Pelodiscus sinensis: one gene and its partners. The protein of the gene in region 3 binds, or shares a complex with, the protein of the main gene of each other region. Links are inferred from orthologs where the notes say so. Each region holds a gene or a part of one and is shown on either strand. Other genes may lie near its edges. The genes, in order: BANF1, ZMPSTE24 and prelamin-A/C.

Region 1 (7,937 bases), on a different chromosome or scaffold from region 3:
AGTGGGTAACCGATAGTTGCTTATTTAACTGGTTAAACATTAAGTTAACCAGTTAAACATTAGGTTAACTGATTAATGGTGATTATACATCCCTCGCATGCATGCAATTAACTATATTTATCCAATAGTTGATACAATTTGTACTGACTACACGATTAGTCGATAAGGGGAGGCAGTCAGTCACGGCTCACACCAGGTCCCGGAGCTAACCCTGCTGTGGCTCTGCAGTTTAAATATAGTAAGAGCCAGGAATGCAGGCAGCCTGGCAGCTGCTACTACATTTAAACTGCAGAGCTGCAGCGGGGGTAATTCTCAGAGCCAGTGAGAGCCAGGACTGAGCAGTCCCAGCTCGTGCTGGCTCCAGGACTGCTGTGGATCTACCTCCACCCCCTGCCCCCCCCTCACACACACCACGGAGACTGTGCTGGGGGGAACTTGCTTTTAAGATGGCTTCCTCCCCAACTTGATGCCTCTGATATAGGAAGCAAGTAGTCAAGTGGTCAATTGACTATCCAATAGTACTTGACTAGTCACTTACATCCCTAGCTTGGCCTGGTGTGGGAACAGGAGCTCCTTGGGCTGGGGGCTGCTCCAGCTGGGCTGGAATAGTCTCCAACCTGAGACGCTGCTTATTTAACTGGTTAAACATTAAGTTAACCAGTTAAACATTAGGTTAACTGATTAATGCTGATTATACATCCCTCGCATGCATGCAATTAACTGTTCTTTCCTAAGTGGAGTACTTTATATTTATCCATATTGAATTACATACTATTTACTTCAGACTATTCCTCCAGTTTATCTAGATCATTTTGAATTTTAATCCTATCTTCCAAAGCACTGGCAATGCCCCCCAGATTGGTATGGCCTACAAATTTCCAGTTTTCCAGTCAACTACGCACCCACTTTGTAGTAGCGCTATCCAAATTGTAATTCTCTAGTTTATGAAAATGTCATGTGAAATATATCAAAAGTCCGACTGAAGTCAAGATACACCACATCTACTGCTTATCCTCAATCCACAAGGATTGTTACACTCTCAGAAGAAACTAGTAGTTTAATTTGACTCTGTATGTTCTTGACAAATACATTCTGCTACTGGTGCTCCCTGTAAACTGGAAGCTTGTGCGGGCGCAACTGATTAGCAGAAAGCCCATTGCTAGGTTTGTGTTTCTTACTTCCTTGATGCACATAAAAATGATTCCATACATGAATTAGGGATGTTAAGGACTAGTCGACGATCCGATAAGCAAATGCTTATCGGATCATCGACTAGTCGCTTCCCCCTTCCCTTGCTGCCTCTATCAAATCCTTTCGTTTCTACTACACCGAGTTGCTTCTGGGGTCATGGAGTCAGAGCTGCCTTGCTCACTCTGGGTGTACAAGTCTTCCTCAGGCATCCAATTCAAGTGGACTCACTGGAGGGGAGCTCAAAGGTTCAGCAGGATTGCTGACTGCTCTGAGGTCTAGTTCCAAGAGGCAGCAAAGTCAAGGGGCTTACACCAGTGAGTATGTGAGGTCCTAAAGGGACCTAAAAGGGCCCAGAGCAGTAAAGAGCATCGAGCCCATGGATCTGTGACACCCCCAACAAAGACCCCTGAATTCCCTACTTTCTGCAGAACATCCAGTCTCAGTGATGATTTCATTCCTTCCATGTGCACCCTCAGCCCTAGCCTTACATCCAAATACCAACAAACCCCTTGCACAGACTCTGCAGCCATTCTCTCCATCCCTCCCAAAAGACGCCTTTTTTCCAGGCATCCTCAGCCCTTTTAGATCCTGCACTTGGCACGTCTTCACCAGATAAAGCTTCCTTTATACATATCCTCACCCTCCCTTCCCGTGTCCTAGCACTCAACCCAACTGCCTACCTCCCAGACCTTCTTTCCACACATTCAGCAACACCTTCCACTACCTTGTTCCCATCCCAATCTTTGTCAGACAATTTCCAACCCCCAAGAGGTACCACTCATCACTACAGGTACTCCCAGCATTCCCAGACACACCAGCTATATACCACCAATCCCTCTCTTATCACCAGAAGTCCTAACTCATCACACCTGCCCAACAACCTGAGCACTATCCTTTACCAAAAAAAAAAAAAAAAACCCCACACACCCTAGTTTCAGGCTTCCACTCTACTTTTCCTTTCCCCACAATGTAGCCCAGCAGATAGAGCAGTGAACTAAACTCAAAAAGACTTGGGTTCTATTCCCAGCTCCAGCAGCTGACCTCAGCTTCCCAATCGCTAAAATGGACAATACTAACTCACCTTTACACCTCTTGAGAGCTACTAACGAGCAGAGTTAAGTAATGATTACTACCAGCACTAGCTAACAACTTCCCCAGGCCCATATCCCCAGCCCCACCTCCTAGAGATCTCCCCTCCCTATGGGTAAGGCCAGACCTCCCACTAGGAACCATCCTTGCAGAAGCCCCCCCCCCGAACACTCCAATCCCTTCCTCGGGCATCCTCAGCCAACCTCCCTCCCCCCTCTTCTCCCCAATTCATCCCACCCTAAATCACACCAGGATATACCCAGCCCTTCCCCGCGCTCCTCTCCGCCCCCCCCGGCCGCGCCCTCGCAGACACATGCCCAGCTACCGCCCGCCCTCCCCAGAGGCCCCTGAGCGCTCCCCGAACTGCTCCTTCCCCCACGCCTCAGGTTCCCCCACTGGCCCGTTCCCGCCCTCAGCCGCCTTCATCCTGCCCGAGGCCCGCGTCCGACACCGCAGCGACCCACCAGCTCCGCTCGCTGCTGCAGCGCCTCAAACACCGCCGCTCCCGCCCAACCGGCCACCCACTGCGCCTGCGCAAACACCACTTCCGCTTCCAGGCCACGCCAGCACGCGCTCCTCTTCGCGCCCCATATAACCATAGAGAGTAGGCGGCGCTCTATAATGCTCTAGTCCCAGCCAGGAGCGATCCACATCTGCTCTATGATTCCCAACGGCTCTGGGCCGCTCCAGCCACCTTTGGATGATAGAGTTCAGCATCTACACTCTAGGCAACTGAAAACTCTGTGATACCAACTCATCCTCCCGGTCACAGTAACCGACGGCGCGAGGCAGCCTCTGACGCTGCCTGTGGTCCGCGACAACCCCTCCATCCCATAATAATAGCCCTGCCCGCGGGGCTGCCTCGGGAGCCCAAGGAGAGCATCAGGGGACATCATGGTGGGGGGAGGGGCTCCCGGAAGTGAGACAGGAAGCGCCCGGAACACCCGGAAGTTTACGCTGAAAGGTTTGGGGGAGGTTCAGGACTTGGAGCCGGAAGCGGGTGACTCCGTCCCATGTGCAGAGAGGTAGGGACGGGAGGCGGCAGCCCCTCACCCCCCCCCCCCCAGTCCAGCCCCTAGGAGCAGCGGCAGTTTTCTCCCCCGGCCAATGAGCGGAACAGGGAACTCCCGGGGGCGTGCAGGGCAAGGCGCTCCCTGCCCCCAGCACGGCGACATGGACTAGCCCGAGAGGGGATCTGGCCGTCACAGCTGGGCGGGGAGGTGGAGAATCCAATGGGATTAATCCCACCCTGGGGGAGCGGAGCCCGACCCCTGGGTTCCATTGTAGCTCTGGGAGAGGCCTGGGGGCTTGAAGCGTAGGGCAGGACTGCAGTGAGTCTCAGCACGGACTGGCATCTTCTTATATGAGGAAACTGAGTCACGGAGCTGACAGATTTACTCGACCCCAACACATCTGTCTCCAGTTGCAAGGAAGCCATAACAGGGTTAAGGCACAAAGTGACATTGGATCAATCTCTTTTTTTTGTTTCCATGATCTCCTATAGGATCTTTGTTTCATTCTGTGATGTAGATGAGATTTTACCTGGGAAGTTAATGCAGCCCTAAAGAATTAACTTTCTCATGCAAATCATCAGTAGAATTGCCTGAATGTTATTCTGTTATAATGTGTCTGTTCCTCAGTTTCACCTCCCACTGTTTGCCTGTGTGGTCCCTTCTCCTCTCCCTGCATCAGTTCCTTATTGACAATCCTTACCTCCTTGTGTTAAAACACTTTCAGATTCACAGCTAAAAAATTTTCAGTGGAATTCTTACTGTGGGAGACAATGTGTGGAGTTTGGCCTGAAAATTTCCAGCAGAATAGAGGAATCTTGAAGCTACCTCATTCCCTGGGTAAGGGAGTCTCAGTCCATTTCCACAAGCCATAAAATTGTCTTTGTTCCTAGAGTATCCAGTGCCAGTGAATGCCTCCAAGAGTGAATTCAGCGCTGGATCCTCAGCTGTCAGAGACGGACAGCCTCTCTTTATCCTCCACACAGGTACTGGTACTCCTGGCTTCCTCTGAGAGAAATCTATGCCCCCATTTTAAGTGGAGTAGATAAGACAAATGGGGAATCTCTAATAAACCTGATAACAAGGGGTTGTTCTTGATGACTAGGAAGTATGGTCTAATGAGCAAGGCACTGGCCTGGGATCCAGAGATCCTTGGGTTCTATTCTGCCTCATTTTCTCCTTCAGCCATTTGTTTGTTTAGACAGTGAGCTTCTTAGGGCATGGACTGTCTTAGTGTGTGTCCATGCAACGCCTGACACAGTGAGACCCTGATCTCAGTAAGGGGGCTGACAGGTACTCTGTGTGCACATGGTATTGGGTACTGTACAGACTGATGCCATCATGCCAGGGGGTACACAGACTCTTGGAGGTAGTCCCTGCCCCACACAGCTTGTACTCCATCTAGACAGAAGGGCTACGTCTAGACTGGCCCCTTCTTCCGAAGAGGCATGCTAATTTCGAACTTTGGAATAGGGAAATCTGCGGGGGATTTAAATAAACATGGCCGCCGCTTTTTTTTCCGGGTTGGGGAAAAGCTGGAAAAGAGCGTCCAGACTGGCGCAATCCTCCGGAATAAAGCCCTATTCCGGAGGATCTCTTATTCCTACTTCCAAAGTTCGAAATTAGCATGCCTCTTCCGAAGAAGGGGCCAGTCTAGATGTAGCCAAGTGGTATGTATGGGAAAATGGAGTGAGTGGCAAAAGGACTGGACCAAAGACAGCAGCAGAGCATGCAACAGAACCCAGCTATCCTGGCTCCTACTCCAGGACCCTGCTCACTGGGGGGACTTTTTGCCTTTAGAAGCTTATTTGATCTTGGGGAGATGCAACAAGGCTCTTCTCCCTCTGTTCCTTCTCTTCGGCTAGCCTTCCAGAGCAAGTGTGCCTTCCAGCTATTCACCACTTCACCTGCCCTGTGAGGATCCTGTTCCTGAGGGCTAACTCACCAGGATGTCCCAAGCAACCAAACGCAAGCATGTGGTGAAAGAAGTGTTGGAGGAGTATGTGGTTCCATCTCCTCAACAGCAGATTGTCCGGGTGAGGAAGGAAGTAGCCCTCTTTGCTGGGCTCCACTGGGACTTTTCACTTTCCTCTGCAGCATGAGGTTTGGGTTGCTGGGAAGCATCTGGATATGTCTCACCTAAGCTATTCTTGCCATCCCACCCCTCACGCTCTGAGCTTCAGCAGAAGGCAAGAAAATCCCTGAATACATCTGTTTAGTTGCGTATTAGGGTACATCTTGACTGCAGGGGTTTTCCAGGATACCCTGGAAAAACTCTGCCGTGTCCAGGGAACGCAGTTGCTCTTCCACTTTTTTTGCAGAAGACCAAATGCACTCTTTTGGGGAGTCCTGTATATCTCGTTCTAGAAGGAATAAGGTCTCCTCTGAAAGAGGCCGCTTTTCCGCCATTTGGCCCCTTCTTGACTGGGCCAGATGGTGGAAAAGCCTCTTCTGGAAAACCAATTGGAAAAAGCGACACAAATTGCGGAGTACAATTTGTGTAGCTTTTTCCCGGAAAAAAAAAAAGCTATGGTGTAGACCTAGCCTTAGGGAGGAAAACCTGTTCATGCTCCTTGCAGATGAGTGCACTCCAAGCTCATGCATCAGGAGTTCCCCATTGGCTTGCTGCAGAGCTGCTAGTGGCATGAGCAAGGCAGAACAGGTGGAGTGTGAGCCATCTAAAAGCCATACATGGGTAGTAGATTTCAAAGCCAGAAGGTGATCAGCCTGATCATCGAATCTGACCTCCCATGTAAGTCAGATTGTGGAATACTCCTCCCTGCCAATCCTGCATCCAGCCCATCTCTGGTGGTTGAGCTAGAGTGTCACTTTGAGGCAGGCTCTGATCTGTAGGTGCTAAGTGCTGGAGAATCCATTTCTCCAGGAAGCAGTTTCTGTGGTTAATCCCCCTTCCTATCAATTTGTTCCTCCCTCCAGGTCCTAGGGACCCCAGGAAACAACCTCCATGAGGTAGAAACGGCCGAGGGAACCAGATTCTTAGTGAGCATGCCCACAAAGTTCCGCAAGAACATCTGGATCAAACGAGGTGAGTACAGTGCAACTAGGTTCATGGCACCCCTAGAGGGGAAAGGCCCCATATGCCCCCTCCCCTGAACACCATTTAGAGTAGGAGTACTACTATCCACCAGGGGTGGATGAGTGCACCGCGGGCAGCACAATTTCACGGGGGCCCCCCCTTTGACATGGCGCATGCGCGGAGCCCAAGGCAGCCGCCCCACTTGCTCTGCCCTAAATCCACCGCTGCTATCCATGAGTTCCCCCTACCCCGGGGCTAGCTGAGATCTAGCACCCTCCTAGAGGGAAGAGGCCCAGTACCACATTCTCCATCTCCTAAAAATCAGCCAACCCTCCTTCCCACCGACACACTGTGTCTCTATCATTGCAGGGGACTTTCTGCTGGTGGACCCTATTGAAGAGGGTGAGAAAGTGAAGGCTGAGATCAACTTTGTGTTATACAAGGACCACATGCGATACCTAAAGAAAGAAGGGCTCTGGTAAGAGTCGGACATGGGGGAGGATGCTGAACTACAAGCTCCTAAAGTCCCTGCTCTTGCCTGCCACCAAGGTGCTGGAGAAAGTGTTAGTGAGGATTGGCATTGGCTTGAGTGTCCTTCCTGAAGCTGAGATTTCCATCACACATGAGCTGTAGGAATAGATGCAAAGCAGTCAGCTTGGGGAGGAGGGTAGCTCCATGGTGCAAATGGGGCAGTAAATCTCTAGCAGGGAAACCTGTGCTTTGATGCTGTTGGTATTCAGTTGGGGGCTGGTATGACTGTTGCTGGAACCATGGGGCCCCAATTCAAGGAACATTTTGATAAATTAGAGAGGTCAGAGAAGAGCCACAAGAAAAAGAGGACCGGTGACAGAACTCAACCTTAGCTTAGGGGGTAACTTGATCCCAGGCTATCCCCACCTGCCATGGGAACAGAAATTTGACAACAGGCTCTACAATCTAGCAGACAAACATCAAACAAGGCAACTGGCAACCGAAATTAAACAGTCATACTGGAAGGCAGAGGATTCACTGGAACTGAGCAGTGGCTCAGGTGGATTCTACCATGCTGGCAGTTTTTAAATGCAGTTTGGAAAGATTTAATCTAGTTTGAAAAGGAATTAATTCAGGGCATCCTGGAGCCTGTTACACAGGACTTAGATTACACATGATCCCAGCACCTTCTGCTCACTTGATTTACAACCCTTACTAGGAGGGAGGCAGGGACAGAATAGAGGGAGTTTTTCTTCCTAAAAAACTTTTGAAAATATGGCTGAAAACATGTCTCAGGTTCTAGTTTAACTGAGAAGCTTGGAAAACACTGTCATAGGAGGTTTTCCCATGAGTTTGGGTTTTGGTGGAAAAAGGTCTGTGCTGGCTGAAATAGTCACATGCCCTGGGCAGGGGCTGGAGTGAAGAGGAAAGGCCCCATATTTTATTCCCTAAAACCCTCCCTAGAGGGGAAAGTGTCCCATTCCCTAAGCTATTGCCTCAAAGCCAGGGCTGCTCTCTCATCTCATGTCTTTCTCCTCCCCACAGGCCTGAGGCCTTCTCCTCTGACACTGCAGAAAGTCAGCCCAGCTCTGAGGCGAGGTGAGTATGAAAGGAGTGGAACTGCTACAAAACAGTCCAGG
Region 2 (7,616 bases), on a different chromosome or scaffold from region 3:
AATACTGTCCGGGAGGGGTTGGGGGCAGCGCGGGGGGCGGGGCTGCCGGGCGGGAGTCTGGGGGCAGTGTGGCTGGCCCGGTGAGATGGGGTGGGAGGGCAGCTGGCTGGAGGAGATGGGGGGTTGGGGGCTGCGCGGCTGGCCGGGGGAGATCGGGATGAGGAGAACCGGCTGGCAGGAAGCAGGGGTGGCCGGGAAGGAGTCGGGGGGGGGAGGGGGGGGCAAATCGGCCAGCAGGGAGTGGGACTGACCCAGGCACATGCAGATGCCGGGGTGCCATCAGTCCTGCGCACAGTCCTGGCGAAGCGTGAGTCCAGCTGCGGCTCTACAACGCGCTCAAGAGCAGGGACAGGGCTTCCCCTCCCCAAGGCACCAAACTCAACCAGAGGCTCCTAGCACCGATCGTGCCCCACCTCCCAGCCATTCCCCGTGGCCCCACCATCCTTCCGTCTGGCACCCAGCTGGAAAACCAGAAAATACTGGACATTGCACATGTCCGGTATTTTCTGGAATTTTTTACCAGAGGGCCCAAAAACTGGACTGTCTGGTAGAATACCGGACACCCGGCAATCCTACCTGGGAGGCAATGGAGGGAGCCACAATGAAAGTGCGTCTTGCCTGGAGCCCAGCCAGGTTGGGGCTCCATGCACGAGTGTACGCATGGCGCTGGCAGCGAGGGGTCAGAGCCAGGCAATGCAGCCGTGCTTAAAGGGTCAGAGTGCTGTGAGCTCCCTACAGTGGAGGCACCGCCAGGCGAGACCCTCGCCCTTGCTGGAGCCCTGCATCATGGAGTGCAGCAGCATTTGGCAGGCAGGAAACTGAGGCACAACGTGAGGCAGAACCATGCGCCATCCCCCTGCGGCCAGTGGTGGAGTTGGGGCCAGAGCCCCTGACTGCGCTTCCCTGAGGTCAGTCTGCTTGGCCACACATAGCAAGGTCTGGCCAGGAATCCAATTCTTCCTGTCACAAACCTTCCCGGGGCACCCCTCTGTGGCAGTGTGCATGAGCCAGCTGGAGAACACCCTGGGCCTCTCTTGTGACAGGTCTCAGTGGCCCCAGCAGCAGGGGTTACTCATGGAAGCCACAGAACCCATCAGCAGCCCCCAGGGATCACCCCCAAATGGGGGGGAGGACTCCAGAGAGGGGAAGGGGGGACATCAGGGAAAAAGGGGTAGGGGCAGTGAGGGAAGGGGGAGGCACCAGGAGGGTGAAGGGGTAAGGGAAGGTGCAGGTGCCAGGGGATTCTGGGGGTGAAGCAGAAGGGCAGACACCTGCAGGGGAGGGACCAGCACCAGAAGAGAGAGGCAGGGCAGGTGTGTAGAGGGAGGTGTTAGGAGAAGGGATGAGGAGGGGTAGCTCACATGATCGGAGTGGGCATGGGGGGAGGAGAAGGGCTGGTGGAGGGGGGCAGGTCTCAAGAAGGCTGAGGGCAGTGAGAAGGGCAGGAGTCAGGACAGCAGAGGAAGGTGATGGGGGCTAATTTCGCTACGAAAATCAGGAAAGAGATCTTGGCATTATTGTGGACAGTTCTCTGAAAACTTCCACACAGTGTGCAGTGGCGGTCAAAAAGGCAAATAGGATGTTAGGAATTATTAAGAAAGGGATAGAAAATGAGACACAAAATATCTTACTGCCCCTGTATAAAACTCTGCTACGCCCACATCTTGAATACTGTGTACAGATGTGGTCTCCTGACCTCAAAAAAGATATTTCTGAAAGGGTTCAGAAAAGAGCAACTAAAATGATTAGGTGTTTGGAATGGGTCCCATATGAGGAGAGGCTAAAGAGACTGGGACTTTTCAGCTTAGAAAAGAGGAGTCGGAGGGGGGATATGATAGAGGTCTATAAAATCATGAGTGGTGTGGTAAGGGTGAATAAAGAAAAGTTATTTATTAGTTCCCATAATAGAAGAACCAGAGGACACCAAATTAATGGGTAGCAGTTTTAAAACTAATAAAAGAAAGTTCTTCTTCACACAGCGTGTAGTCAACCTGTGGAACTCCTTGCCAGAGGAGGCTGTGAAGGCTAGAACTATAACAGAGTTTAAAGAGAAGCTAGATAATTTCTTGGAGGTTAGGTCCATAAAAGGCTATTAGCTGGGGGATAGAAATGGTGTCCCTGGCCTCTGTTTGTCAGAGGCTGGAGAGGGCTGGCACGAGACAAATCGCTTGATCATTGTCTTTGGTCCACCCTCTCTGGGGCACCTGGTGCTGGCCAGTCAGCAGACAGGATACTGGGCTAGAAGGACCTTTGGTCTGACCCAGTACGGCCGTTCTTATGTTCTTAGGAAGTCCAGCAAAGAGCAACAAAAATGATTAAATGTCTAGAAAACACAATTTATGAGGGAAAGGCTGAAAGAACTTGGTCTGACCCAGTACGGCCATTCTTATGTTGGGAGCAGCAGGCACCAGGGGAGCTGATGGAGGAAGGGGAGGAGACATGGTAGCAGAGGGAAAAGGTCGAGGTTTATAAGACATTTATTAATAACTTGGGTGCCACAGTGGCACATCCAAACAAGCCACCTGAACTCAGTACTGGTGCCCAACACAACATTCATTCTGCTCGGGGAGGAAACCCTTGGAGGGAACACTCCCCCCCAACACACACTGGGTTAATGCAATTGCAGGACAGTTGCACAGAGGGTTTTGGTGGGGGATGAACTAATCCCTATTGGTAAGAGGATGGTGGGGAAGCCCTGGGGGAAGGGGCCCCATGACCCCTTTTACTGGCCACGTGTCCGTGTGGCCCGCGGGAGTCGGGGCGCGGCTAACGGTCAAGGCCCATTTTAAACGTTCTTCGGGCGCTCGCCAATGGTCCGCGCGCCCCCGCGGGGAGCCCTGCAGGCCCCTCCAGAAAGGCCCCGCCCCGCCGCCGAGTTCCGACCTGCCGCCGCGCCAGGAAGGCCTCCCACAGGTACACAGCCCAGGAGAAGAGCAGCACGGAGCAGAAGATCCGCTTCTCCACGGGCAGCCCGGCCCAGAGCGCCCCCAGCAACACCGCCATGGCGCAGGGCCCTCGTGCGCGAGGCAGCTTCCGGCCCGGCGTCCCAGCAAACCCGCCCCCCCGTTTCCGGCCCGGTGTCAGGGCGTAACCCGCCCTCCGACTTCCGGCCAAGCGTCACGGGAAAACGCGCTCTTCGGCTTCCGGCGCCGTAGCAAAACCTCCCTTCCCGCTTCCGGTTTGGCGCCACTGGAAATCCGGCGGGATGCGGCGCGGCGTCCCAGCAACCCTCGCCCTTCCGGCTCGGTGATGTCACAGGCCGTGTCGCTCTCGACCTGTCCCTGCGCGCTAAGAGATTTGCAGCGACACCGGGGAGGGGCTGCAGGCCGGGCCCTGCGGGGCGCGTGCCCCGTTCCGCGGCAGAGCCGGGGCTCGGCTTGGCAGCGCGCGCCGTGCAGGTTAGTTTTACCTCAGAGAACGCGCGACCGGCTGCTGCATTTCCTAACGGACGTTGCGGCAGATGTTCATGACGTCACTGGGCCAATAGGGTAATTGTGAGGAGCGGGAGGATTTTCTGGCCCTGCTGTGCCAGGAGCAGTTACCGGACACTGGAGCGCCCGGCCCGCGGGAGAGGCCGAGGCACTTGGGTCTGTTCAGTCCGCAGACGCGAAGCGCGAGGGGGGATTTGAGAGCAGCCTGCAGCTCCCTGCAGGGGGGTTCCCAACGGGATGGGGAGAGGCTGGTCTCAGTGGGGGCAGAACAAGGAGCAATGGGCTCAAGTTACAGTGGGGGAGATCTAGGCTGGATATTAGGCAAAACTATTTCCCTAGGCGGGTGGGGAAGCGCTGGGCTGGGTTCCCTAGGCAGGTGGTGGAATCTCCATCCCTAGAGGTTTTTAAGTCTCAAAACCCCGGCCGGGTTGATTTAGTTGGGATTGGTCCTGCTTTGGGCAGGGGGCTGGACTTGACGACCTCCTGAGAGCTCTTCCAGCTCCATGATTCTATGATACTTTATTAATTGATTTTATTCACTTTTAATCTGTTAAATCCCATTTCTTTAAATTGTTAAGTATAGGTGTGTTAATTCTAATTTAATCAATTAGTTTTATATTATTTATAATTGCTATTTTGGAGTTAGAGCTAGATTATTACTGGGATAATTTTATTTCTGGAGGCTCCTAAGGCACACCATTAAATGTGTACAGGGCCAGCCAGATGGAAGCACTGCCATTGAATATTCCTTTAGAAGTAAGGGACTGCAACAAAATGGGGTGGATAGAGAATCCTCAACCCAGCAAGTACTAGGCTACTCAGGATCTCCTTTTTTGTTAAAAACATCAGGCGCCCAGGCACATGTGAATGTGACCTGCTCCCAAGTAACCCAGGGAGGAAAAAGGGGTTACAGTTGTTTCTGGATGATGTAATCCCCCCCTTTTGCTAGTGATGGAAAGACTAGCATTGGCAGATAACTCTGAAACTATCGAAAATGATGATCTTGAAAATGGATAGTCTTGAGAATCCTGTATGTTGAGGATGGATTCTCATAAAAAGATAAGTTAATGCAGTTATTTAATTATTACCATGGACACAAATCAGATATCTGAAAAGGCAACACACAGAAACGTGTGAACACTTTAACCTGTCTGGGCACTCATTAATGGATCTCAAAGTCACCATGTTGTTTCAGGCCAATTCCACAAGCCAAATACCAGGGAATGGTTAACTTCATTTACAAGTTTGATTCCTATCAGAGAGGAATGAATAAAGATATTGGCTGGCTCACACAGTATCTTCCATGACTTAATGACTTAACCAACAAGAACAAACAATGGGTACTTATAGAGGTGCAAATTGTTCTTATCAGCCTCTTGTAACTTGAACAATCTAATTCACTATTTTTCTCTCTCTCCCTCCACCTCCCCCCCCCCACTCCACCTTCCCTTGTTTATTCTTGGATCTGGACTTTTAATACTCCAGTCATCTGAAGAAGTGGTTTGTGCCTATGAAAGCTCATGATACCATCTATATGTTTTGTTAGTCTTTAAAGTGTTACTAGATTGTTCGTTGTTTAAGTTTTGCTCATTTAGTATTACTCCTTGCATTAATTGACGATCGTACTAAGGATGTTAAGGATCGTGTAATTCACTAATCGAATAGTCGAATTTTTATATTGACTATTTGATTAGTTGATAGGGTGGCACTGTTCCTTTGAAACCCGCCACTGCGTTTCATAGTGGCAGCACCCCATGGTGCCTGGGATCCCGGGCTCTGTGCAGTGCTGCTGCTTTGAAGTACCCCTGTCTTCCCTCCCCTTGCTGCCTCTATCTGATAGAGGCAGCAAGAGAGGGCGTAGACTAGTCCTTAACATCCCTAGATGGTACTGCTTTAAAGTGAAATGGTAAAGGGAAAATTTGCTTATTTTATCTATTTTTTTTAGCACAACTGCATCAATAATGATAGTACCATAGAGTAACAACTTTTTTGCTCAAACATGAGAATTCAAGAATAGTCCAAAAGGAAGACAAGGCAGACCTTAAGAAAGAAGTATGAAATAAAAATTTACCAACCTCAAGATCCTTCATGTTCAGACATGTTCCTTTCATCATCTTCAACACAGCATCCTCCTGAGAAGGAACACTTCTCATGATGTTTCGTTCAGGCAATCAGTCCTTGCATATCTTTGTTGCAGTGTTTGCATTTTGCATGTATGCATGGCCTGTCTTACCCACAGGTTGAGGAATTTCATTAAAATATTCCCAAATTGGGTCTCTTATGGCCCGCTGCCATTATTGGGTTTTTCCCTTCTAGTAAGAGATGGTATGATAGATCTTATATCAATAAAAACTACATTCAGAAAGACCTCAAGACTTCTGGAACCTGCTGCTCAAACCATTACACGTTTGTTTCTACGCCTATCCCTCCCTTCTCATGTTTATCTCCATACTTTTCCTTCTCCAGGTCTATTCCACCTCAACCATCTACTATTCATTTAGCATTTTGAAACTTTGCAGTTTGAGAGGTAAGGGAATGAGTTTGTGTACACCAGTGGTCGCCAACCTTTTTAACCACAAGATCACGTTTTCAATATACAGGCAGTCCCCGGGTTACGTACAAGATAGGGACTGTGGGTTTGTTCTTAAGTTGAATTTCTATGTAAGTCGGAAGTGGTACATATTGTACCCCGGGTGTCCCCGATTCAGCCGCTGCTGAAACTGACCAGCGGCTAACTACAGGAAGCCCAAGGCAGAGCTGCTTTGCCCCGGGCTTCCTGGAATCAGCCGCTGATCAGTTTCAGTAGCAGCTGATTTGGGGATATCTGGGGTAGAGCAGCTGGGGTGCTGCCAGGTTGGTCCCCGCAGCACCGAGGTGCAGGGCTGCGGGGACCAACCCAGCAGCGCCCCAGCTGCTCTGTCCCAGGCGTCCACATTCAACCGCTGTTGAAACTGACCAGCAGCGGCTGAATCGGACATGCCTGGGGCAGAGCAACTGGAGTGCTGCTGGGTTGGTCTGGTAGCGCCGACCCTTGGCGCGGCGGGACCAACCCGGCAGCACCCCAGCTGCTCTACCCCAGGCGTCCTGATTCAGCCACTGCTGAAACTGACCAGCGGCGAGAAAAGCCTGGTCTGCTGGGAGGGCAGGGGAGGGGGGCGCACTAGCTGCGCCCCCCCCAGCAGACTAGGGAGATGCGGGCAGCGGGACCACCGAGACGCGCCGCGGTCCCGCTGCCCGCATCCTCCGTGGCTTTGCTCTGCGTCTCCCTGGTCTGCTGGGGGGGGTTCCCCCAGCAGACCAGGGAGACGCGGAGTGGCTTTTCTCGACGCGGAGGACGCGGGCGGCGGGACCGCGGTGCATCTCGGCGGTCCTGCCACCCGCGTCCTCCGCGGTGAGAAAAGCCCCGTTCGTAAGTAGGGATCCGACGTAAGTTGGATCCACGTAACCCAGGGACTGCCTGTATGTGCAATGTAAGATCTACCTCAAACCCAAATACCCTTGCCCCACTTCCTTCCCACTCCTTCTCTGAGGCCTCACCCCTGCTCATTCCATTCCCCTTCCTTCCCCATCCCCACTCACTTTCACCAGGCTGGGGTAGAGGGTTGGGCTGCTGGCTCTGGTCTTGGGTCAAGGGGTTTGGAGCATGGGAGGAGCTCCGGGCTTAGCCCATGGTGAAACATTGGGGTCCATGAGGGAATTCAAGGTCCAAACTCTGGGAAGGAGTTTGGGTGCAGGGTGACTCATGTCTGGGGCAGATGGTTGGGTTATGGATATAAGCAACTAGTTGACTACCTGATAAGCATAAGCTTATCGGATAGTCGAGTAGTGACTAAACTAGTCACTCTCCCCCCCCCTTGCTGCCTCTATCAGAGAGAGAAGCAGCAAAGGCGGAAGCACCATCTCTGGGGGGGGGGGGGGGGAGTGGGGAAACAGCATGAATGGGGATTGAAGCAGTTCCTGCTTGCACTGGTTCCCACTTCAGCCTTTGAAATGTACAAAAGCCCTGTGCTCTCTGATCCCTGCTGCCTATATGAGAGGTTTAAAATGCAGAGCCACAGGGCGGTTGGCTCCTGGAGCCAGCATGAGCCAGGACTGCACAGTCCCAGATCGAGCAGGATTCTGGAGCTATCCCTGCAGCGTGGTCCTATCGACTAATCATATAGTCGATAGAATTATTCAGGGGTG
Region 3 (6,991 bases):
GTGGGAACCCATGAGGGTCTCCATCTCTTGGGGTCTTCAAATCAAGACTGTCCACCTGTCTGGAAGAGATTCTTCCCCTGAGTTGGAGTGCTCGATAACAGGGTGAAATGTAATGCCGTGTCCTACTCACGGGGGTGGCCTTTCTGGCCATAAATGCTATGAATACGGCCCCTTTGCACCACACTGCCCTGGTGAGAAGCGGGTGGACGTGTAATTGAGACCCTTGTGTGGTTCTAGGATGGTGCAGAGGGGTCTCGGTGTAAAGGAGACTCCGCCCCAATCAATGAGTGATGGCACTGGCTGCTTTTGGCATCCTGATGCATGTACCAGCCTGCACCCGCTCTTGTTCCTGTCTTGTGCACTTGCCCCATGAATATACTGTCAGCTCTTGGTGCCACACTGACTCTCTCCTCCCCCGACAGGAATAGCTGCTTTCACACCCAGCAGGCACGCAACCCGGGAAGCTGCTTCTGCCAGCATGTCACCCCGCCAGCCTGTCTCACTCCTGCCCCAGAGGGACCCCCTCCAGGCGGGCGCATGCGAGGAGCTATTCTCCATGGTCCCCTCAGCACCAGGCCAAGGTGCCAATTAGTGCCACACCTTGTTTGTGAGTAATCCACCATGCAAAGGTTTTGTTTTAATGATCCTAGGGTGGCGGGGGGAGGGGGCTGGTTTCCTTTCCCACCCCCACTGCCCAGGACTGGGTGGCATGATCAGCTGTTCAAGTTCCCCTTTGCTGCTTGTATCTAATGCTCTGCACCCCCCACCGAGGTGTCTCACACCACTGAGTCTCCTTTAAAAGCTCAGCCAGCGAGCTTCATGCACCTTAATCCCTTAAGGTGGCCCACAACCCCTGTCACCCTAAACCCTGGGGTGAAAAGGAACTGGATAGGTACAGGACACTAGTAATAACTATGTAATAATGCACCTGCACCTCCTTACTCCGGGTATCCCTAATCCGTGGTACGGAGAAGGAGGCCGATCCCCACCAGCATGCAGCATGCTCCCGAGGCCTGGGAGTAGCAGGAGCACAGATCCACTTGTGCCCCTGGGAGCAGGGCACTGGGTAAGTGCACCAACTCATACCCAGAACCCACCATGTCCTCCCTGTAGGGTTGCCAGATACTTGCACAAAAAATCCAGAACATGGCGGGACAAAAATTGGTTCAACAACAAGAAAGGAAAAAAAAAAAAAAAAAAGGTTGCTGCGCCTTTAAATTCCTGTGCTTCTCGTTCCACCCACCCCTGCCCAGACACAGCAAGGGAAAAATGTCCCCACCAGTCTTCCATCTGAGAAACAGAAAATACAGGTATTTTCTGGGAGGTTTTACAGGACAGAAGACGCAATTACCAGACTGTCCAGGCGAAAACCGGACACCTGGCAACCCTACCTCCCTGGCCCGGCAACATCTTTAATCCGGCAGACCCTGTTTCCCAGGATTGCCAAATTAAAGAAGTTCAAGAATCTACAATATGCTACATTTGCATTGAGGGGGAAGGATGAAATTCAAGAAGGACAAAAGCAAAGTACTACACTTAGCAAGGAATAATCAATTGCTCAAATATCACATGGGAAGTGACTGCCAAGGAAGCGGTACTGCAGACCAGGGTCTCGGGATTATAGCGGATCACAAACTAAATACGAATCAACAATGGAACGCTGCTACCAAAAAAACCCCAAATCCCCAAACACCATTCTGGGATGCATTAGTAGGCATGTTGCAAGCAAGACATGAGAAGTAATTTTTCCCTCTACTCAGCATTCATAAGGCCTTAACTGGAGTCTTGTGCCCAGTTCTGGGCACTACATTTCAGGAAAGATGTGGACAAACAGGAGAAGGTCCAGAGAAGAGCAACAAAACCAATCAGAGAGTGATCAATTGTTCTTTTATCCACTGAGGATAGGACAAGAAGCAATGGACCTAAATCGCAAGCATGAGAGGTTTTGATTGGACATTAGGAAAACCTTCCCGTGGCAGGATAGTTAGGCACTAGAACACATGCCTACTGAGGCTGTGGAGGCTTTTTAGAGCATGTTAGACAAACATCAGCCAGACATGGTTTAAATCAGCAGCGGGCAAAAGCTTTGGATCTGATCCATCACAGTCCTCTGGGCTATCAATGTCCAACAGCCCAGGGAGAGTCTGAGGCAGGCTCCCTGCCGGCCGCGCCCCACCTGTGGCTCAAAGCAGCCAGCTGCTGGGGCCAGCCTGTGCGTCTCTGCACAGCACATGCCACATGGGAGAGGGGGAGAGAGGCTCTGCATGCTGCTCCCGCCCCCAGCACAATCCTTGCAGCTCCCATTGGCTGGAAGCCATGCTTGTGGAGGCAAGCGAGTGACGAAGCCCCTCCCCCCCACCAATGGCATGCCATACAGAGTCATGCATGGTCCTTTCTACACTCAGCCTTCATCCCAGACCTGCATCCCCTGCATAGAAAAATGTGGTTCTCGACCACTTACCAAAATCTTGGGATGCCCCCCCACCCATGAAAAGTTATTGCCCACCCTTGGTCTAGACAGTATTTAGTTCTGCCTCAGTGCAGGGGACTCGACTAGATCACCTACTCGGGTCCTTTCCAGCCCTGTATTGGTTTTCTCTGCTCCTTTGCTAGCTATGGCCCCATCCAGCCTCTCCACTGCTCCTTCCCAGTCGCTGTATTGAGCTGTCTTGAATTCACATCCCAGGCCGAATGTGTCTTTCCTAGACTCACTGGTCTCAGCATTTTACACTCACTTTGCACTGGTGTAAATGGTTATGCCAAGTTCAGAACAATGGAGAATCAGGCCCCATGGGACATCAGGTTCTAAATAGGAATAAATGTAAATTGCAGAATCGGAGACATAAAGAGACCTACTGATCCTAATCTCATGTGCAAGGCAAGCGGGAGTCAGGACTCCTGGGTTCTATTCCCAGCTCTGGGATGGGGGTTCAGCGGTCGTTTGAGCAGGGGCCTGGGTTTTATGCCCAGTTCCACCCAAACTGCCTTGCACAAAACAGCTCCATTTCCAACACCCTCCCTCATACAAAGCATCCCTCCCCCAGCCCTGCTGTGAGCCTACCTGCGATACAGAACTTGTACCACCATCTGGGACCACGGAGCTGGCATGAACTCTTCTACCAACAGCTGATGCTCTGTCTCAGTGCAGACCCCCATGGTCTCGGCAGCTGCTGGGTGTCTGTCTGGCCCCCATCCAACAGAAGCAGGAGGATCTGAGTTCTCTCTGCATGAGAGCAACCAGGACACGATGGGTATCTTCGCACCATCTCGCTGAAAATCTTTGTATCAGCGTCAAGCACCATCGTGGGTCCCAGGAATTGCTGGATGCTCCAAATTGCTGAGCATTTGCTCCTGGGATCTGCCTTCCCCTTTTGCAACAGAGCAGAAAATAGAAGGGAGACAGAAACACTCCGTTAAAAAGCTTGGAAGGCTCCCATACTAATTATGAACAAGAACATAGCGAACAGCAGCGGCTTGTGTTCCAGGATAGACATTGCACTTTTTTACTGTTATTTTTTATTATGAATTATTTCTGTTACAGTAGCACCACAGCACTCCACTTATGGATCAGGATCCCATAGCACAAGATGCTTATGAACACCAAACCAAAAGACTCTCTCCCTACACTACAAACTATCCTGCTAGGTATGATTATCTCCACTTCAGAGATGGGTAAACAAAGGCACAAAGCAGAGTTAGAAGCAGAACAAGGCATAGATCCAAGGAGTCCTGACTCCCCCTTGACTGCTCTAATCAATAGACCATGGTTTCCACACCAGGGCCAAAAATAGAACAAAGAGCCCCCAACCCCTATGCCTCATGTTCTAGCCACTACTTCCCACTGCTCTGGAGTAGGCCGGAAATGATTCGTAGATTCCAAGGCCAGAAGGGACCCAATATAACCATCTGGTCTGACCTCCTGGATAACATAGGCTCCAGAACTTCCCCAAAATAATTTCTAAAGCAAATCTTTTGGGAAAAAACCATCCCATCTCAATTTTTCAACAATGGAGAATCTACCATGACCCTGGATAAATTGTTCCAACGGATCATTGTTCTCACCATTACAAAATTACACCTTATTTCCACTCTGAATTTATCTAGTTTCCACTTCCAGCCATTGGATCGTGTTAGATCTTCCTCTGTTATTAAATATTTGTTCCCCACATAGATACTTGCAGACTGTGAGCAAGTCACCCCTTAACCCCCTCGCTTAGGCTGAGCTTTTTGTGTCTATCACCATGAAGCCTATTTTCTATTCCTTTAATCGTTCTCGTGGCTCTTCTCTGACCCCGCGCCAATTTATCAGCACTCTTCCCGAATTCTGGACACCAGAAGTGGACACAGTATTCCAGCAGTGCTTGCATGAGACAACAGAACCCCAAAGTCACCTTGTGTTGAACCTTAGACCACACTGTTTTATGGTGAATGCACAAAATCCTGAAACGAGGGATGTAAAAGGTTAACCGGTTACCTGGTAAGCATCATCCTAACCAGCATGCTTATTGGGTCAGCTGGTTAGCTGAGTAAATGTAATGTTTAACCGGTTAACTTTTTAAATGTTATTTTACACCCCTACTGAAACTAAAACAAAATCACCTTCCAAATGTCCCATGCTAAAACTTTCGGGAGGGGTTCCCCACTAGTCTGAGCCCTCCCTGCTCCCAACAGCCCCAGTACCGTTGCAGCATGTTCTGGAAACATGGATGAAATGTAGCAAAGTTATCCACGGGTGTGCATGTGTGTGGGGAAAGAGAAGCTGATACAAAGGCACAGGATTTTGTCAGCTGATTGCTCCCCCGTCCTGCAGATCCCAGAGTGGACCCCATGAGCTTTGGACATGCCCAGATGGTACAGCAATGGGTGTCTGTGACAGGCCAATGTCTGGCCCTTTGCCCTTAGCTGGCATCTTTTCCTCCCCCTGTATCCATGAGCAGCCCGAGGTGGGCTGCGGTAGCTGGCGCCCCAGGTGGAACACACGATCGGCGACCCCGCCTGCATGGCCGTCAATGGAGTGACGTCATCATCGGACGCCCGGACGCCCTGTGACATCATCATCGGGCGCCCTGGGCGCCCCATTGAAGGCAGTGCCCTAGGTGATGGCCAGGTTGGCCTATAGTCACAGGCCACCCCTGCCTGTATCTGAGGTTTCGCATGGACACAGCGGAGCCCCAGCATTCTGAAAGGGCCAGTTCACACCCAACCGGTCGGCATTTTTGGGGAGCAGGGAGCTTGTCTGTTTTATGTGTCTGAAAATTTACCGTCATCCTTACGTTGTGATGGAATCACATACAGAAACAGCAAACACTAACTAAAATGATTAATTAAATAATAATGACCCAAATAATTAATAATTGGTTAAAAATAGAAATAATGGCAAATAGGAACATATTTAGCAGCAGCAGCAGCCAGAGATCGGCTCATCTGGTGCAGGGATGTGCATGCTGGGGCAGAATGGCACATCCAAACGGGAGCATAGGGGCAGGGTGGCCGCTGCCCACCCTCAGAGCCTTTGAAGGCCAGAGAGTAGCAGGAATCAGAAGGGATTGGTGTTCCATGTAAGCTGGGCATTTGTGTGGCTACTCAGGAGAGATTCAAATGCTGCCCAGCTGATTAGCAGAGCTCCCACATCTGGGTTTTTTATTATAGTGGTGGTGCACATGGCCTCGGTGCACATAATATTTATACCACACCTGGATGGAAAAAGTCTGCACGTGGCTGAAAAAGATGGAAGGGAACATTGGAAGGAATCAGACATTTATCTGGATAATAAGAACATTTAGATTCATCCCCGGCTGGACTCAACTCAGGGCCTGATTCTACCTTGCCCAGAGTCTTGCACGGTCACTGACATTAGTGCAAAGTGAGTGTGAAATGCACTGGCGTAAATGACTGGGAGATACAAAGAATTAGAGAAGGGTTGAAAATCTTGCTGCGTCAGGGCATAAACCAACCTCTAACTAGGGATGTAAAGGGTTAACTGGTTACTGGGTAAGCATGACCCTTACTGGCATGCTTACCAGGGTAAACAATTAACTGGTGGGGGGCTGCTCCGGCTGAGCCTGGCCTGGCTGGAGCAGCCCATGATTCCGTGGGCTTGCTCAGGCTGCAGAAGCCCTGGCCAGGCTAGAGTAGCCCCTGGCGCACGATCACGGTGAACCCATTAAAACATTAAGTTTAACCAGCTAACTTTTTAACCAGGATTTTACATCCCTTCCTCTAACAGGTGGGGTCAAGAGGAAGCCTCCCCTCAGGCCATGTCACCCCAGAGGCGAAGGGGTTCTTACACCTTCTGCTGCCGAGGTCCAGGATATTGGGCTAGGCAGGCAGACCCCAAGTCTAACAGAATGGTAACTCGTATGTTCTGGGCTCTCCCAGCAGTTAAACCTGTTTTGCTAATTGCCCCACTCCCCACTGACATCCGAGACACATCAGGCCCATTTGCTTTCCATTTCCCCAATGATCAGCAATAAGCTCTGAAATTGGAGAGTCTGCTGCCGCTGTGACTAGCCCATGAAATATATCCATTGTGTTGGCCCCTTGGCCGGTTGTAAATGAGAGAGGGGGGAGCTCTGGGGACACATCCCAGCCCTGCTCCTGATAGAAAGTGGGGCAGGGGAATTTCCCAGGAAGCTGCATGCTGTAACTGCTGGCTTGATCTGCCTGGAACAAAATGCTTTCAAACAATTCTCTCCCTTCGATAAATGGCTTAGACTTTTCAAGCATTAGGTAACTTCCATTGGAATCCTCGTTAATGTAGCTACACATCTATGAGTAGCAGACAGTACCGGTTTGGTCAACTTAATGCTTCCTCTGTACTTACACACACACACACTCTGCATCACAAGCTTTCAAATACACGTACACGAGATACATAATTTGAACGCATGTCTTCTAAAAGGAGGTATGATGTGAAGTTCTCAAGTGATTACCCTAGAAACAAGGGTAAACAATGACCCCACCAAGATGTCCAATAGACCACTTTGAAATA

What was found.
Region 1: the proteins of prelamin-A/C (region 3) and BANF1 are in contact, whole or in part, in a crystal structure (PDB 6GHD), measured with the Homo sapiens proteins. The link is inferred for Pelodiscus sinensis from reciprocal best matches to the Homo sapiens genes LMNA and BANF1. Residues at the interface, in NP_001393912.1 of Homo sapiens: Ser431, Gln432, His433, Ala434, Arg435, Met540, Lys542; in NP_001137457.1 of Homo sapiens: Val11, Ala12, Glu13, Pro14, Glu83, Asp86, Ala87, Phe88.
Region 2: the proteins of prelamin-A/C (region 3) and ZMPSTE24 are in contact, whole or in part, in a crystal structure (PDB 2YPT), measured with the Homo sapiens proteins. The link is inferred for Pelodiscus sinensis from reciprocal best matches to the Homo sapiens genes LMNA and ZMPSTE24. Residues at the interface, in NP_001393912.1 of Homo sapiens: Cys661, Ser662, Ile663, Met664; in NP_005848.2 of Homo sapiens: Ser264, Asn265, Ala266, Tyr267, Phe268, Val332, His335, His339, Glu415, Leu438, Asn439, Asn442, His459, Arg465.

What each region holds. Positions count from the first base shown.
Region 1 is NC_134721.1:33,018,406-33,026,342, forward strand, and holds the start of BANF1 (barrier-to-autointegration factor), read right to left. Parts: upstream 3,054-7,937; 5' UTR 3,039-3,053; coding exon 3,035-3,038; intron 2,890-3,034; exon of another isoform or gene 2,745-2,889; intron 1-2,744. Other genes in the region: putative RNA-binding protein EIF1AD, read left to right, coding at 5,240-5,326, 6,228-6,336, 6,697-6,805, 7,843-7,896. UniProt on the Homo sapiens protein: Non-specific DNA-binding protein that plays key roles in mitotic nuclear reassembly, chromatin organization, DNA damage response, gene expression and intrinsic immunity against foreign DNA.
Region 2 is NC_134735.1:23,629,917-23,637,532, forward strand, and holds the start of ZMPSTE24 (CAAX prenyl protease 1 homolog), read right to left. Parts: upstream 3,075-7,616; 5' UTR 3,004-3,074; coding exon 2,884-3,003; intron 1-2,883. UniProt on the Homo sapiens protein: Transmembrane metalloprotease whose catalytic activity is critical for processing lamin A/LMNA on the inner nuclear membrane and clearing clogged translocons on the endoplasmic reticulum.
Region 3 is NC_134734.1:16,695,175-16,702,165, forward strand, and holds the start of prelamin-A/C, read right to left. Parts: upstream 3,080-6,991; 5' UTR 3,062-3,079; intron 1-3,061.